Drosophila melanogaster: one gene and its partners. Changing the gene in region 1 together with any one later gene gives a genetic interaction. Each region holds a gene or a part of one and is shown in the gene's direction. Other genes may lie near its edges.

Region 1 (5,163 bases):
GGCAGAACACTTGCCGCCGTTTACCCACTCACACGCACACTCACACACGCGTCACTCACACTGGCGAGCGCGAATCCATTGTCGAACATAAAAATACAAAAATCAAATCATAGGTGTTTGTTAATTATACACTGTGCCCTGGAGCCAGGGTGTCACGGTTCGTTTGAGAAGTTTGGACATGTCACGTAAATACCAGGTATTATAATAAAACGCTATTATTTGAATATAATAATAATATTATATTATAAGCATATTATATTATACTTACTTATACTTTACTTACTTATTAAATTCGTGAAATATACAGAGCATACTTTCAGGTACATACACCCCGAACTCAAATCTTTATCGTTATCAATACACGATCAACATAAATGTATTATTGTCGTATTAAATATTACAGAGAAGGGCATTCAAAGTGCCGGGTAAGTTTGGTTCTGCCTCTCTAGTTTCAAATTTGCCCGCCTCATTGAGCAGGAAAACAACAAATTCCCCAACAATAACAACGTCTACGGATCGCAGCGTTTATCTCGCTTATTTGCTAATGCTAAATGATCGTCTTCTTCCCCGCCTTCGGCGGCCTTCTTCCACTTCACATCGCAATGTTTGTTGCAAGTTGGCTTGTCCATATGTCTCTGTTGTTGCTATACCCATTTCGTTACTTGGCTTTTATGTTTGGGCCATCTAGCAGGTGGGCGGGGGACTTTTGTTGTTTAGCGAAACCCGAAAATGCCGAATAAATTGAAATGCGATTCATGGTTTATACCCAGATTATTTGTATATATGCATACACAGAACTGTAGGTAAATACGTAAGTATGGGAACCGCAAGTGCGGCTAACGATGACGCCAATATAATGATCATGATGATCAAATTGATGGTAATGATAATGGCGATATGAGCGCAGCTTCCGGTTTTGCGCCTCGGTATTTTTGTTAGTTTTTTGCGCTGGCTAACTTTATATGAATATTTATTACCTGCGCTTTTTTTGTATTGTTTTGCGGTGTGTAATTGATTTAAACCGAAAGATCTGCCGACATGTGTCGACTGTCACACCAGCTGACAGTTATTTCGGTTTAGTTCCATATTTGGGTTGGGCGCAAAGCGTGGCATCCCATTTGGCCATTTGGATTAGCCTAAAACTTGACCCAATTCAAGCTGATGTGTTGAGCCATCGCACAAAGGCGAACAAAAGGCTTTTATGCCAAAGCTGGACTGACAAAATAAAATCCAAGCTGCCCACACCAAAAAGAAAAGAAACAAAACATGTTCGGAAAATTCAATGGAGGTGCGAAAAGATCAATCAGCACAAAAAATCCATAAGCGGCTTAGCGTCTGGGGTGTTCATATTCTTAATTTAAATAGATTATTTTACTACTTCCAAAAGCTGGCATTCTTTTTAAGATAATCCAAGATTAGCAGAGCCCTCAAGATGTGCGTTCATCGGCGCACACACTGCGTATACTTGATTGCGCATACGCACTGGTGTCGCAGGCGAACGATACTGATATTTCTTCTGCTACGATATGTTTTCATAATATTCTTCAAATTTGTCTAGGCATTGACACATTAAATCGCTGACTTTCGCCATTGCTTTCTGCACAATCTGGAGACTCAAGAATAATACTCGGCCAGAACCCCCAGTGGAAACCCTTGAAATGCCTTTAACTATTGACATTGGCCCATTGCGATGTGCGCTTGCTTTCGTTATGGATATTATGATTATAAGCCAAAAGCTGTCGACACTTTCCTCTGCACATTGCAGACATATTTTTAGGCTGGCCTAATTGAATTTCAAGAGCAGGGGTTACACGAGCACCGCGAAAACTATAAAAGCCATGCGGCAGAATGCAGACATTGCAGGTTTCCAACGACCAATCGCCGCGACTAGTCCGCCCCAGTGAAATATTCAGAATCCAGGAACCCTTTATGTAAAAAGTGTTAGAAATATTGTTAGTGAATTTGCAGCTTTTTATGTAGACAGTGTGATATAGGCGGGATATAGTGACGCAGCCAGTAACCAAAACACAATGGAGAGGTACGATCGGTGGATCCACTGGATGTTCTGGTTAGCAATTTAACATTTGCTTCGGTGTTGCAGCTTTGCAGTAGCAGCCGCGCAACTGGGGCCACACTTTGCCCCCCTGTCCAATGGATCGGTGGTGGACAAGGTCACGCCCGACATGGCCCACCTGATCAGCCCGTACTGGAACCAGTTCCCCGCCATGGACCCCATTTGGGCCAAGATCCTGACCGCCTACATGATCATGATCGGCATGATTTCCTGGTGCGGAAATGGCGTGGTGATCTACATATTCGCCACCACCAAATCACTGCGCACGCCCGCTAACCTGCTGGTCATCAACCTGGCCATCTCCGACTTTGGCATCATGATCACAAACACGCCCATGATGGGCATAAATCTGTATTTCGAGACCTGGGTGCTCGGACCCATGATGTGCGACATATACGCCGGACTGGGCTCGGCCTTTGGCTGCAGCTCCATCTGGTCCATGTGCATGATCTCCCTGGATCGCTACCAAGTGATCGTCAAGGGCATGGCCGGCCGGCCGATGACCATTCCGCTGGCCCTGGGCAAGATTGCCTACATCTGGTTCATGTCGAGCATTTGGTGCCTGGCGCCCGCCTTCGGCTGGAGCAGGTGAGTCCTTGAAATGGTAAACCTTCTGGGAACCCATTTTTTAAAAAATGATCAAAGCTACTATATACAAATGTTTAAAAACTTAAATTACAAACAAAAGGTTTACAAATTACAATTGTATTAATATTATTACCACCTAACATTATCCTATAAATATATATTCTTAATCTAAAAGGTATGTGCCGGAGGGTAACCTGACCTCGTGCGGTATTGACTACTTGGAACGCGACTGGAACCCACGCTCATACCTGATCTTCTACTCCATCTTCGTGTACTATATTCCGCTGTTCCTGATCTGCTACTCTTACTGGTTCATCATTGCTGTAAGTGGCGACGAGACTCGCATATCCCAGTCGCTTAACCCGATATATCCTCCCACAGGCTGTCTCCGCCCACGAGAAGGCCATGCGCGAGCAGGCCAAGAAGATGAATGTCAAGTCCCTCCGCTCCTCTGAGGATGCCGAGAAGAGCGCCGAGGGCAAGCTGGCCAAGGTGGCTCTGGTCACCATCACGCTGTGGTTCATGGCGTGGACACCATACCTGGTCATCAACTGCATGGGACTGTTCAAGTTCGAGGGCCTTACACCACTGAATACCATTTGGGGAGCTTGCTTCGCCAAATCGGCCGCCTGCTACAATCCAATTGTATACGGCATCAGGTTGGTTATGGGCTATGAAACGTATATACCTTAATATTTAACCAATTTTTTATTTTCATTCCGTATAGCCATCCGAAATATCGCCTGGCCCTCAAGGAGAAGTGTCCTTGCTGCGTCTTTGGCAAGGTCGACGATGGCAAATCGAGCGATGCCCAATCGCAGGCCACCGCCAGCGAGGCCGAGTCCAAGGCATAAATTCTTTGGCGCAACAACCAGAACAGCAACAACAACAACAAGAACATCTAACTACTTACAACAGCAACAACAACAGCAACAAAAACAACAGCAAGAACAACTGCAGCAACAGAACGAAACGCTTTCGAATAACATCAAAAACTTCAACAATAATGAAAAAATTATGCAACTTTCTTACATAACAAAAAGCAATGTAAACTCAGTTATTAAATTTCCTGCAATGTCAGTTAAGGACAAAAAAAAACTCAACAAAAAAAATAAATGCAAACGAACTAGAAAAGTTATAAATTAAAATGAGCCTTTTCAAAACATAGTATATCTAACAAAAGCAGCTTTTAGCGTGGAAAAACCCTAATGACGAACCTACAAAAGTTCGGATATCAACTTTCGGTTATCTTTCGCCTTTAAAGTTTGGAGAACCACAACAAATTTGAGTTTATTCATTCTTATATGTATAATAGTCTTCTTCAGAAGCTATAAATCCTTTCCAGTTAACAAGAAATACCCCTTTTTTGCAAAGCACTTCACAATATATTATCTATTTCAGTTTTTGTTTTCTTTTTTTTTTAAATTAAAGGCACTTATGTAAATTCCATTTTTATAAGTTAACATGCAATCGTTAAAACTGGACACACAGACAACGCCTTTTCGAACTCAAAGTTGAAAAGACATGAGTCAGCATGGGAGAACTTAACCCAGGGCTGCTGGAGACTCATTGAGCTGAGCCTCGCAGCGGTTAGTAGCACATGGAGAACATTAACAATTAATCAGTAGTATCTGTAAAGGCACAACTCAGAAAGCTTTCAACTCCAGTCACTCGCTGCACGAATCGTACTCGCTTTCGCTTTTCTTGATTTTCGTTTTGATGCCCGGCGTTCCGGGAGTTGTGGTTGTGGGTGATGGTAGCGTATTGTTGTTGTCAATAAGCGCAAAAGAGCTATTGCCTCCAATGGGTTTGTGGTAAGTGCTTGGTGGACTGTCCACACAATCGGACGAGGTGCACACACGTTCTTGTATAATGAGTTTCCACAAACGCACTTCGATGCCAACGCTGCAAAATACCAAAAGTTAGTTGAGCATGGATTAAGTGTACTTTTCTTATAAGCTTTAACGCACCGCAGACCCAGCCTCATGAGGTCCAGCTTTTCCATGTTATAGATAAAGTCGTCAAATGTAAAACCTTCATTCAGGATGAGCGTCTTTGAGAACTCGTCTATTTCCTGCTGGGTCAACCACTGCTCCAACTGCTCGTCTACTTCGTGAAGACCAAAGTGATGCTTGTTTAGCTGCCTCCGGGGATTGCCCGCTATATTCGGACGGACTCCGGACGTTCCGCCCACACTGGTACTCATTCTATGGCACTTTTTGTTAAAGCCGTTTATTGTGCGTCTGTTAAGATGAAATTGTGAATTATAATAAAATTTACAATGTCCTACTTGGTTTACCAACCTTAATCTCTTTCTGCCGCCCATGTAAATGTGAGCCAGCTCCTGACTGATATTATGCAGGGCCCTCATGCTCTGCCGCTGCTGCTCAAGGAGCTGGCGTTGCAGCTTCTGCTGATTGTCACGGATGTCTCTCAGGATGCGCGCGCACTCCATCGAACTGGACAGAGCATCCCCGCCCGATTCCGCAGGCGTTAATCCC
Region 2 (4,725 bases), 1.3 Mb from region 1:
GTAGCGGGCGTGAGGCTCCAGCTGCCAACAGCTCCGCCCACCTACAGCATTTATAGCTCCATCTTTCCGCTGAGACGAGTAATAGCTATAGATTTTATTTTCCTCTATCTCCGAATAGTTAACTATATCCTTGGATAACATTTCAGGGTCGTGGACTGACTGGACTGAAGAATCTGGGCAACACCTGCTATATGAACAGCATACTGCAGTGCCTGAGCAACACGCCTCAGTTGACCGAGTACTGCATTTCGGACAAATACAAGAATTACATCAGCAGAAGCAACAAGACTAATGGCCAGGTGATCGAAGAGGTGGCTGCACTCATCAAGGAGCTCTGGAATGGACAGTACAAGTGTGTGGCCAGCCGAGATTTGAGGGTATGCAACTGAAAAAAAAAAAACACCCAAATTTCTTTCTAAACTAAACATACTTCATTGCAGTACGTTGTGGGCCAGTACCAGAAGATCTTCCGCGGCGTTGACCAGCAGGACTCACACGAATTCCTCACCATCCTGATGGACTGGCTGCACTCGGATCTCCAGACCCTACATGTGCCCCGTCAGCGGGAGATGATCAGTGCGTCGGAAAAGGCTTGGCTGGAATTTACCAAGGCGAAGGAGAGCATGATTCTGCATTTATTCTATGGCCAAATGAAGAGCACTGTGAAATGTGTGGCCTGCCACAAGGAGTCCGCCACGTACGAGAGTTTTTCTAATCTCAGCCTGGAGCTGCCGCCAAACTCGAATGTATGTCAGCTGAACCAGTGCATGGACATGTACTTCAGTGGAGAAAGGATCCATGGCTGGAATTGTCCTAGTTGTAAAACGAAAAGAGATGCCATCAAGAAGCTGGATATATCGAAGCTGCCACCTGTGCTGGTGGTGCATCTTAAGCGGTAAGTGATGCTAACACTATGCTATGCTTGTTTATAATTTCTTAAATCCCGCATAGCTTCTATGCGGATCCCAGTAACTCTGGCTCGTACATGAAGAAGCAGAACTACTTGCGCTTCCCGCTCGAGAACTTGGACATGAATCCCTACATAGCACGGGCGGAATCGCGGGCGGTAACACCTAAGACCTACCAGCTGTACGCCGTATCCAATCACTACGGCACCATGGAAGGCGGGCACTACACGGCATTTTGCAAGAGCGCCAACTACGGAAAATGGTTCAAGTTCGACGATCAGGTCGTCTCGGCGTTGGACTCCTCTAACGTGGTTTCTAGCGCTGCATACATTCTTTTCTACACCTGGCTGCCACCCATGCAGGTGCCTCTGTAGACGCTTCGCTCGGTTTCCTTTCGGTTTTTACCCCTTTCGTTTTAATTGTTTTTTGTTTTTCTCTCATATTATAGCTTTTAAGGTCTAGTCGCCACACCCTTTTATCATTTACAAATTACCGCTTAACTGTTAACTGCTATTTAAGAGGATAATCGCTTGTTTGTTGTTGTCTAGGCTCTTAGAACAGTATTACGCGTGGGCGTATTTTCAATGGGTGCAGGCTGCATTCACTAAAACCAAGAACTTCAAGTGCATTACCAGTGTAACAAAGAGAAGCCCGCATATACGCCTGTGTATGCGGGACTATAGTTTATTGTATTTTGCAAATATATTTTAAAACCAAATAAACGAAATTCAATTTCTGATACAAAGAATTTCTTTGAAAGAATCATGCGTAGGGTTTTTAGAAAACAAATTGGGGAGAGCGGGTATTTTACACTCAACAAATAATATAAAAAAGGGGGTGAAAGTTATTTTACCATTGCAAAGAAAAATTCAGCTAATTTTCGCGCCGAAAAGTTCAATTCGAGATATCCGATAAGTAAATATATTCACTTCCAACTAACGGTCACACTGTAAAACGCCCCCGCTCTTTAGCAAATGCAGTGTTGCCAACTCTTGCTTTCAATAAATAGCTAGTTAGTTGATTTATCAATTATTACATTTATAGTGTTTTATGTATGCCCTATTTTTCATTTATAAAGAGTTATGATTTAAACTTATTAAATAAGATGATGAAATTGATGATTCAAAAGAAGAACATAGCTATAACAGTGCACCTAAAAAATGGCCAAAAATACAGGTGCTTGCAATCACTTAATCTAATCTGGCTAGTAGCCAGCTAAAGCGGCAGCACCGACCACGTATTTGATTGGATTATTTGATAGTCAACGCCAAATCACGGCACTGCAGCCGCGACTCCAGAGAATGCCAACTGTTTAGGATCGTGCATTAAGTCCGACTTAACCAATTCGCAAGTCACACGCTTTAAAAACCGTCATCTGCCCGCCATGAATCTGCCGGAACGCAGCCGTTTTGTGATCTACGCCGTCGGTATCTTCGTATGCTACTTCTTGTACGGAATTGTCCAGGAGAAGTTGACGCGGGGCCGCTACGGCGAGGAGGTACAGACAGATGGATCCGTGGGAGAGCGCTTCACTTACGCCTTGGCCCTTGTTTGGGTGCAGTGCCTCTGCAACTATGTGTTTGCCAAGGGTAAGGATTACGTGGACTTGTAACGAATCAATTCTGATCTGTGGTCTTCCAGTGCTGCTGACCATTAGGCCGCAAAAGGAGGACACCACCAACGCGGGCTCCTACGTGGCCTGTTCGCTGACCTATCTTCTGGCCATGGTCTCCACCAATATGGCCATGCGCTGGGTTCCCTATCCCACTGCTGTGGTGGGTAAATCCGCCAAGCCCATCCCCGTCATGATCCTGGGCGTGCTGATTGGTCGCAAATCCTACAGCTGGACGCGCTATGCTTGCGTATTGACCATTGTCCTGGGAGTTATTCTCTTTATGTACAAGGAGGGCAAGGTGTCCAATTTGCCGGCTGAGACCACGCTTCTCGGCGAGGTGCTGCTCTTCCTCAGTTTGTCAATGGACGGATTGACTGGAGCCGTTCAGGAACGCATCCGAGCGGCCAGCGCGCCTTCCGGTCAGCAGATGATGAGGGCCATGAACTTCTGGAGCACCCTGATGCTTGGCGTTGCCATGGTATTTACAGGTGAGTGTTAAAAACACTTTATTTGAGCTAAAAATATTGGCTAAGACCTTTTTATGTAAGCCCCATACGTTTTTATAAATGTTCTGAAAAACTATAAAAAAAATCTTCAGGTGAGGCCAAGGAATTCATGTACTTCACCATCCGACATCCCGAGGCGTGGACCCATTTATCGCTGATAGCTGTGTGCGGCGTGCTCGGTCAGTTCTTCATCTTTCTGATGGTGGCCAGCTTTGGACCTCTGGCCTGCTCCGTGGTTACGACGACGCGAAAGTTCTTTACCGTCCTGTGCTCCGTTCTGCTGTTCGGAAACGTCCTGATTGCCCGCCAGTGGCTTGGAGCTGTCCTGGTGTTCGCCGCACTCTTTGTGGACATGCTGTACGGCAAGAAGGCGCCACTGGCTACGGCCAAAAAGCCGCCAGTCGAGGGAAAGCTATCCGAGGAAAAGAAACTGAATTCGTAGAATTTGATAGATGATTGCATAGCCCTATGTACTGTACATACACAAATTAAGAAGACAATGCTTCCGGCTCGAGCGGCTGCAGCGCCAAAGTTTCCCCATTTCCTAGAACTGCTTATCGTACAAAGGATTCTAGCTATAGCGAACACAGCATTCGATACTTGATCTGCAACCCATAGACCGTCGTTTAAGTTAATTAAATTATTGATATCTATTAGAAAAGGAACAAATATTGTGCAAAAGTTTACACCAGACCTGCGGGTCTCTAACATACAGGATCATTCAATCATTTAATGCTACAATTTATAATTAAAACGTGCTCTTTTATTAATGGTTGTATTATTTATATGGAACGTTACTAAGAAGGCCTAACAAAGGCAACTTATTTTCTGGCTCAGTTTAATAAATATTTTCCCATTTTTTTTTGTATTTTCTTTAACTTGAATTTAAAGCGCTTAAATCAGAGCTGCCACCTTACACGAAATGTGAACTACGTTCATAGGCAAAAGTAAGATGCTATGAAACTCGAGTTCCAAGATAAAATATCAATTTCGTGTTATACTGAAATAAGATTTAATATTGTGTTAGCTACTATATAAACCGTAATAATATGAAAAAAAGACTACACAAATTAGTTGTATCGATACCGCGACGAATCAATTGGCAACAATCGATAGGATCACTTTGCCGACCCTGGCAACTCTAGTTTATTGCCGTAGCCGTTGCAGATACGGTCGAAATTTTCAGAATGTTTTTAAAATGTATAAATCCAGTGTGCGCAATGCTAATTATACAATAAACTAATCGGGACGAAAATTTCCGAAAAATAAAAGAACGCATGTTTCGAGTTTCGGAACGGAACGGAAGGAAACACAAACGCGAAATTAAGCGAAAGTTGGAAAAAGGATATGCCCAGTATTAGCGGGAAAATGCAATAAAAATTGCAAAGAAAAGCAATCGAAATGCAAAAATTGTGATTATTTTTAACAGCAACGAATGCAGTGTGACGTGTGATTAAAAAGAATAATAAAATTGGCTCGTTTGCATAAATCAAATAAAATATTTTCTTATTGGATGAGTCGCACTCTAGTTGTTGTTGTTGCTGCTACCGCTGCCAGCTGTTTGACTGTGTATTTGTTTTTGCCCTGGTGACGTCCGTGCGCGTGTGTATGCGAGTGTCTTTTAGTGCTTTGGCTTAATTTTAGCAACTAAATTCGATCGAAAGTGAGTGTGGGTCGCAGCGACGCGAATAAAAGC
Region 3 (4,594 bases), on another chromosome or scaffold:
CCTGAATTAAGTTGACACACAGTCTCAATAAAACTAAGCCTTTATTTTGTAACTAATAGTACTGTCAATCCTTGGCAGCTTCTAGAGGAGCTTGCATTGAAGAACTCCTGGAAACTTCTCATTGAAATCCGCCGGTAAGGTTGAATCTTTTCCATAACCAGGGAAAACGTACAACTAATTATTTGGCTCGGCCATTTAAAGTTATCTATCTCAGCTGGCATATCAAACTAGTCATCAGTCTACAGCTTCGTTCCTTGGCAATCAAACTCAATCAAAGTAAATTGAAACTGGATCCGAGTTAAAAGTGATTTTTGGATGCTTCATGTGCAACTTGAAAAGCCTATGTTCCCCTTGCACTTTCCAGGTCATGGGGATGGGATCCTGTAATGAAAAATATTAGAAACGAAAGCTAATATAAGTTGTGAAATACTTAGACCTCATTAGACATGAGATACGTGTTTAGTTCCACATAAATATTAAGTGCTGTGGTACGGTTTTCTCCCAGTTTCTTCGCATCGAATGTGAACTCCTTAAATCCGAAGGTGCAATGGTATATACCCAGGACCTCGTGTGTGTTTAGGTTTTGTATTAAGGTATGAAACTTAATTTCGTCCACACAAACCGAATTTTGTATATAAAATTCATTGACATTAATGTGAAGATGCTGATACGCATGCATACCAAAATTAGCCACCTTTAGGGTCTTAATAGCCACATTTAAACCGTAAGTTTCACAAAATATGGATGTATTTTGGCTTATCTCGATCATATTTATAGTGCTTCTCTTCGCAGCTATGAGAATCTCTCTCAGAAATCCGTATCTAACGTGACCACAAAGAAATAGCTTCTTCAAGTGAGTTAGACGTTCCAGTTTCGATAGGAACCACACCATCATTTCCTCCTGGAAGCACTGCAGCTGCTCTAGGTTTCTAATCCCTTTCCAGGGCAGTTCTGTGTTCGAAATCTGGTCAATATCGAAGATACCCAGCTTCAGGGATTTTATTTTTCTGGTTTTCAGGATCTGTATCAAGTTGGTGACATTGAATTTGCTGCAGTAGGAGACCGTGAGGTTCTCGAGAAACTCGAATTCATCAAAGTGTTTGCCAGTAAACTTTCCATGGGGGCTAAAAGTTGTCAGATTTGGAAAAGTTTTCAACATTCTTGGCACGTCCGCATCGTTTAAGTTAAACGAATGCGTGGAAAATCGAAAATCTTTAAGTTTTGGAAAACTACAGCTGGTAAGTGTTTCGAAGTTAGATCTATTATTCATTTTGAGCCGCAGAGTGCTGAGGATTTGTTGAGTACTTTCCAGGAAGAATAGCAAATCCTTGTCGCTCAGCTGCATTTCAATCAAGGATATATATGCACATTTGTTATAAGCACGCCACACATACGGCATTAATTTCTTAAACCGGAAATGAAAGTCTTTCAGTTTTAGTTGGGTCTTCAAGTCGAGATAACTTAGAATTATCATTAGAACATCATCGGGCAGACATAGTAAGCCAGGCTTGGTATTCTGCAAAGGGCAAAAGAAATTAGGAAACTTGTATACTTATATTTCTGCTATATTGTTGCATTGCGGTACCATAAGATCGGTGTTTATCATTGTCGGTCTATATTCGTATGTTTAGCTAATATCGAGTCCAAATAAAACAATAAAATTATAACAAAAGTTTTATCAACATTTTTAAAATGATATCTGTTAATTTTGAGTATTTTTGGTGACAGCAGACTGTCAGCTGCGATGTTGGTTAGTCACCGCGTGCTGTAAGCGAATAACAGTGTGCTGTTAGGCGCACGAATCCCTGGCCAGCAAAAACAAACTGCAAAAACAATAATCCCCGGAGTTTTCCATCTGAACGCAAAATAATACACACCAAAACACAGCAAAATGCAGAAGTACGATAAAATGGAGAAGATCGGGGAGGGCACCTACGGCACGGTGTTCAAGGGTCGCAACCGCGACACCATGGAAATAGTGGCCCTGAAACGGGTGCGACTGGACGAGGACGACGAGGGTGTGCCCAGTTCTGCCCTCCGGGAGATCTGCCTGCTGAAGGTCAGTCGGACGAGCAGGAAGTGATTCCAGTTTATAAACTAAATCGGCACATTACCATCCGTAGGAGCTGAAGCACAAGAACATTGTGCGCCTCATAGACGTCCTGCACTCGGACAAGAAACTCACCCTGGTCTTCGAGCACTGCGACCAGGACCTCAAGAAGTACTTTGACAGCCTCAACGGGGAGATCGACATGGCCGTCTGCAGGAGCTTTATGCTCCAACTGCTCCGCGGACTGGCATTCTGCCACAGGTATACCTATATATGTATCAGCACTGGATTAGGTCTTATCTTGTGTCGATTATAGTTAGAATCAAGTGTTATTTGGAGTAACTTCATCTGTGGCACATTTCCGAATGATATCCATTTTATAGCATTGAGACTTAACTTACGCTACATTATCCTATTTTAGCCATAATGTCCTGCATCGCGATCTGAAACCACAGAACCTGCTGATCAACAAAAACGGCGAGCTAAAGCTAGCTGACTTTGGTCTCGCTAGAGCCTTTGGCATTCCCGTGAAGTGCTACTCCGCAGAAGTGGTGACCCTGTGGTACCGACCACCCGATGTCCTATTTGGAGCCAAGCTCTATACGACCAGCATAGACATGTGGTCCGCTGGATGCATTTTGGCCGAACTGGCGGACGCTGGACGACCGCTGTTTCCTGGCTCTGACGTGCTCGATCAGCTGATGAAGATCTTCCGTGTGCTGGGCACCCCCAACGAGGACTCCTGGCCAGGAGTTTCGCACCTCTCCGACTACGTGGCGCTTCCATGTAGGGATTCTAGACGGATTTTATTTATCGATACCAATATTAAAAGCCTATTTATATTATAGCTTTTCCGGCCATCACCTCGTGGAGTCAGCTGGTACCTAGGCTAAACTCCAAGGGACGCGACCTGCTGCAAAAGCTGCTCATCTGCCGGCCAAATCAGCGAATTAGCGCGGAGGCGGCGATGCAGCATCCCTACTTTACGGACAGCAGCTCTTCGGGACATTGAGGTCGGAAGGTTCTTTCCAAGCCACTGTTTTCACGACCTTTGATTAGACTTAAGCCAAAATGCGAGACTTTGTCCAGCAAAGATCTTTTAATTATATATGTATGTCCTTGCAGTAGAGTTCGATTATAGTATAAGATAAAAAGTTCTTTATAATTTCATTAGTTTGATTTACCAAAGCAAAAGGTTTGATTTATGACAATCCCTACCAATGTGACACTTAATATAGCCATTTGAGCTGCCAAATTAACATTTATCGATAAAATACTTATTGATTCAGTAAAATAGTTTTATTCTTAAAAATTTTTATGTTGAGTGTATCGTTAAGATCCGAAAATTGTTCAAATTCCTAGACGATATCTACTGTTTGTGTGAATGTGGAAAAAATATTTGAAATCCTAGTTTCTGTTTTCAAAGACTAAAAACTAGGCAATACATCTGGTTTCCAAATTTAATGAGTGTCGACGATTTTCTTATTACATTTATTGTGTATTTTTAAGAATTTCGATCTTTCTGAATGATATGAGTCATTAAGTAAATTAGAATAAAAAAAATTGAGATGTAACCTAGATTTTTAAACCAATAAAGACACTTACCGCAGCACTACGTCGTCGCAGCATGATGAATATTTTGAAGTGGTCGCCTCAACCCCCGGCACTCAATAGGGGTTAAAGTCGTTCTGCGCACTCGCGAGTTAGAAATTGAGAACTTTACAGATTGAGAGATTTTTTTATTGTGCTACGAATTGCTAACCGAACCGGTCGGATTTCTGAATCTTAAGCACCGAGTACCTCGGAAATTCTTTTATATATATTATTAGACGAATAAACAAGGCTACCTGTGGATCGGATAATTCGCTATATAGTTAATAATCGGAAAACTGTGTTAACCGCGCAGATAAAACAAAAGCTGTTATCAGCAGCAACCCATTTTCTAATATAAATAACAAATAAGTGCTGCAGAAATGACTTGGGGATTTGTAACCTGCGGCCCCAACGAGGCTTTAGTTGTCTCTGGTAAATCACACGATCCTTATATGCTCAAAATAATGTCAAATCGATTAAATAAATAAGTCAGTGAATAAAAATGAAATTGTCACGCACACACACATATATATACACCCCACCCCAAGTGACGTCACTATCGATTTTTGTGTACCGCAAATGTTGTTGTTGGGATAACAGGGGAAGAAGCTGAATATGCGGCAGTCCGAAGCCATGCGTGCGCATTTGAACGGCGTTGCGGTGCTGTTATCCAAATGCTGCAATGTTTTGTAAACAAAGTGTTTTTTGTTTGTTTTCTGCGCAGGGTGCTGCTACATGAAGCCGCTTTTGGTGCCGGGAGGACGAGCATTCGTTTGGCCAGTGGGCCAGCAGGTTCAGCGGTGAGTTTTAACCGGCTTAGACCAGGGGTTCCAACGAAAAGCCACAGGTTAGGGAGGCGCTAAAAAGCGCGGGTATTCGAAATATTATTCGTAAGAATTCGGTTTTATTAAAATATATTAAATTATAATAAAATAATCTTATTTTATCAGA

Evidence for each region.
Region 2: of ninaE (region 1) and meigo, changing one enhances a phenotype caused by changing the other (phenotypic enhancement), as found in Drosophila melanogaster (one study listed by BioGRID).
Region 3: of ninaE (region 1) and Cdk5, changing one suppresses a phenotype caused by changing the other (phenotypic suppression), as found in Drosophila melanogaster (2 studies listed by BioGRID).

Annotation. Positions count from the first base shown.
Region 1 is NT_033777.3:19,884,898-19,890,060, reverse strand, and holds ninaE (neither inactivation nor afterpotential E), read left to right. Parts: upstream 1-1,854; 5' UTR 1,855-2,030; coding exon 2,031-2,038; intron 2,039-2,101; coding exon 2,102-2,662; intron 2,663-2,837; coding exon 2,838-2,985; intron 2,986-3,043; coding exon 3,044-3,321; intron 3,322-3,389; coding exon 3,390-3,516; 3' UTR 3,517-3,806; downstream 3,807-5,163. Other genes in the region: Ask1 (apoptotic signal-regulating kinase 1), read right to left, coding at 4,330-4,567, 4,633-4,905, 4,966-5,163. UniProt on the Drosophila melanogaster protein: Visual pigments are the light-absorbing molecules that mediate vision. They consist of an apoprotein, opsin, covalently linked to cis-retinal.
Region 2 is NT_033777.3:21,136,569-21,141,293, forward strand, and holds meigo (medial glomeruli), read left to right. Parts: upstream 1-1,701; 5' UTR 1,702-1,920; intron 1,921-1,986; 5' UTR 1,987-2,292; coding exon 2,293-2,497; intron 2,498-2,549; coding exon 2,550-3,011; intron 3,012-3,121; coding exon 3,122-3,471; 3' UTR 3,472-3,797; downstream 3,798-4,725. Other genes in the region: Usp8 (ubiquitin specific protease 8), read left to right, coding at 147-377, 441-895, 952-1,282. UniProt on the Drosophila melanogaster protein: Probable sugar transporter.
Region 3 is NT_033778.4:15,568,600-15,573,193, reverse strand, and holds Cdk5 (Cyclin-dependent kinase 5), read left to right. Parts: upstream 1-1,776; 5' UTR 1,777-1,891; coding exon 1,892-2,059; intron 2,060-2,123; coding exon 2,124-2,311; intron 2,312-2,471; coding exon 2,472-2,836; intron 2,837-2,898; coding exon 2,899-3,062; 3' UTR 3,063-3,655; downstream 3,656-4,594. Other genes in the region: CG8204 (uncharacterized protein), read left to right, coding at 1-5; CG30466 (uncharacterized protein), read right to left, coding at 268-381, 437-1,516, 3,656-3,679; Flo1 (flotillin 1), read left to right, coding at 4,024-4,075, 4,368-4,443. UniProt on the Drosophila melanogaster protein: Probably involved in the control of the cell cycle. Interacts with D1 and D3-type G1 cyclins. Possible regulator of neuronal differentiation and/or development.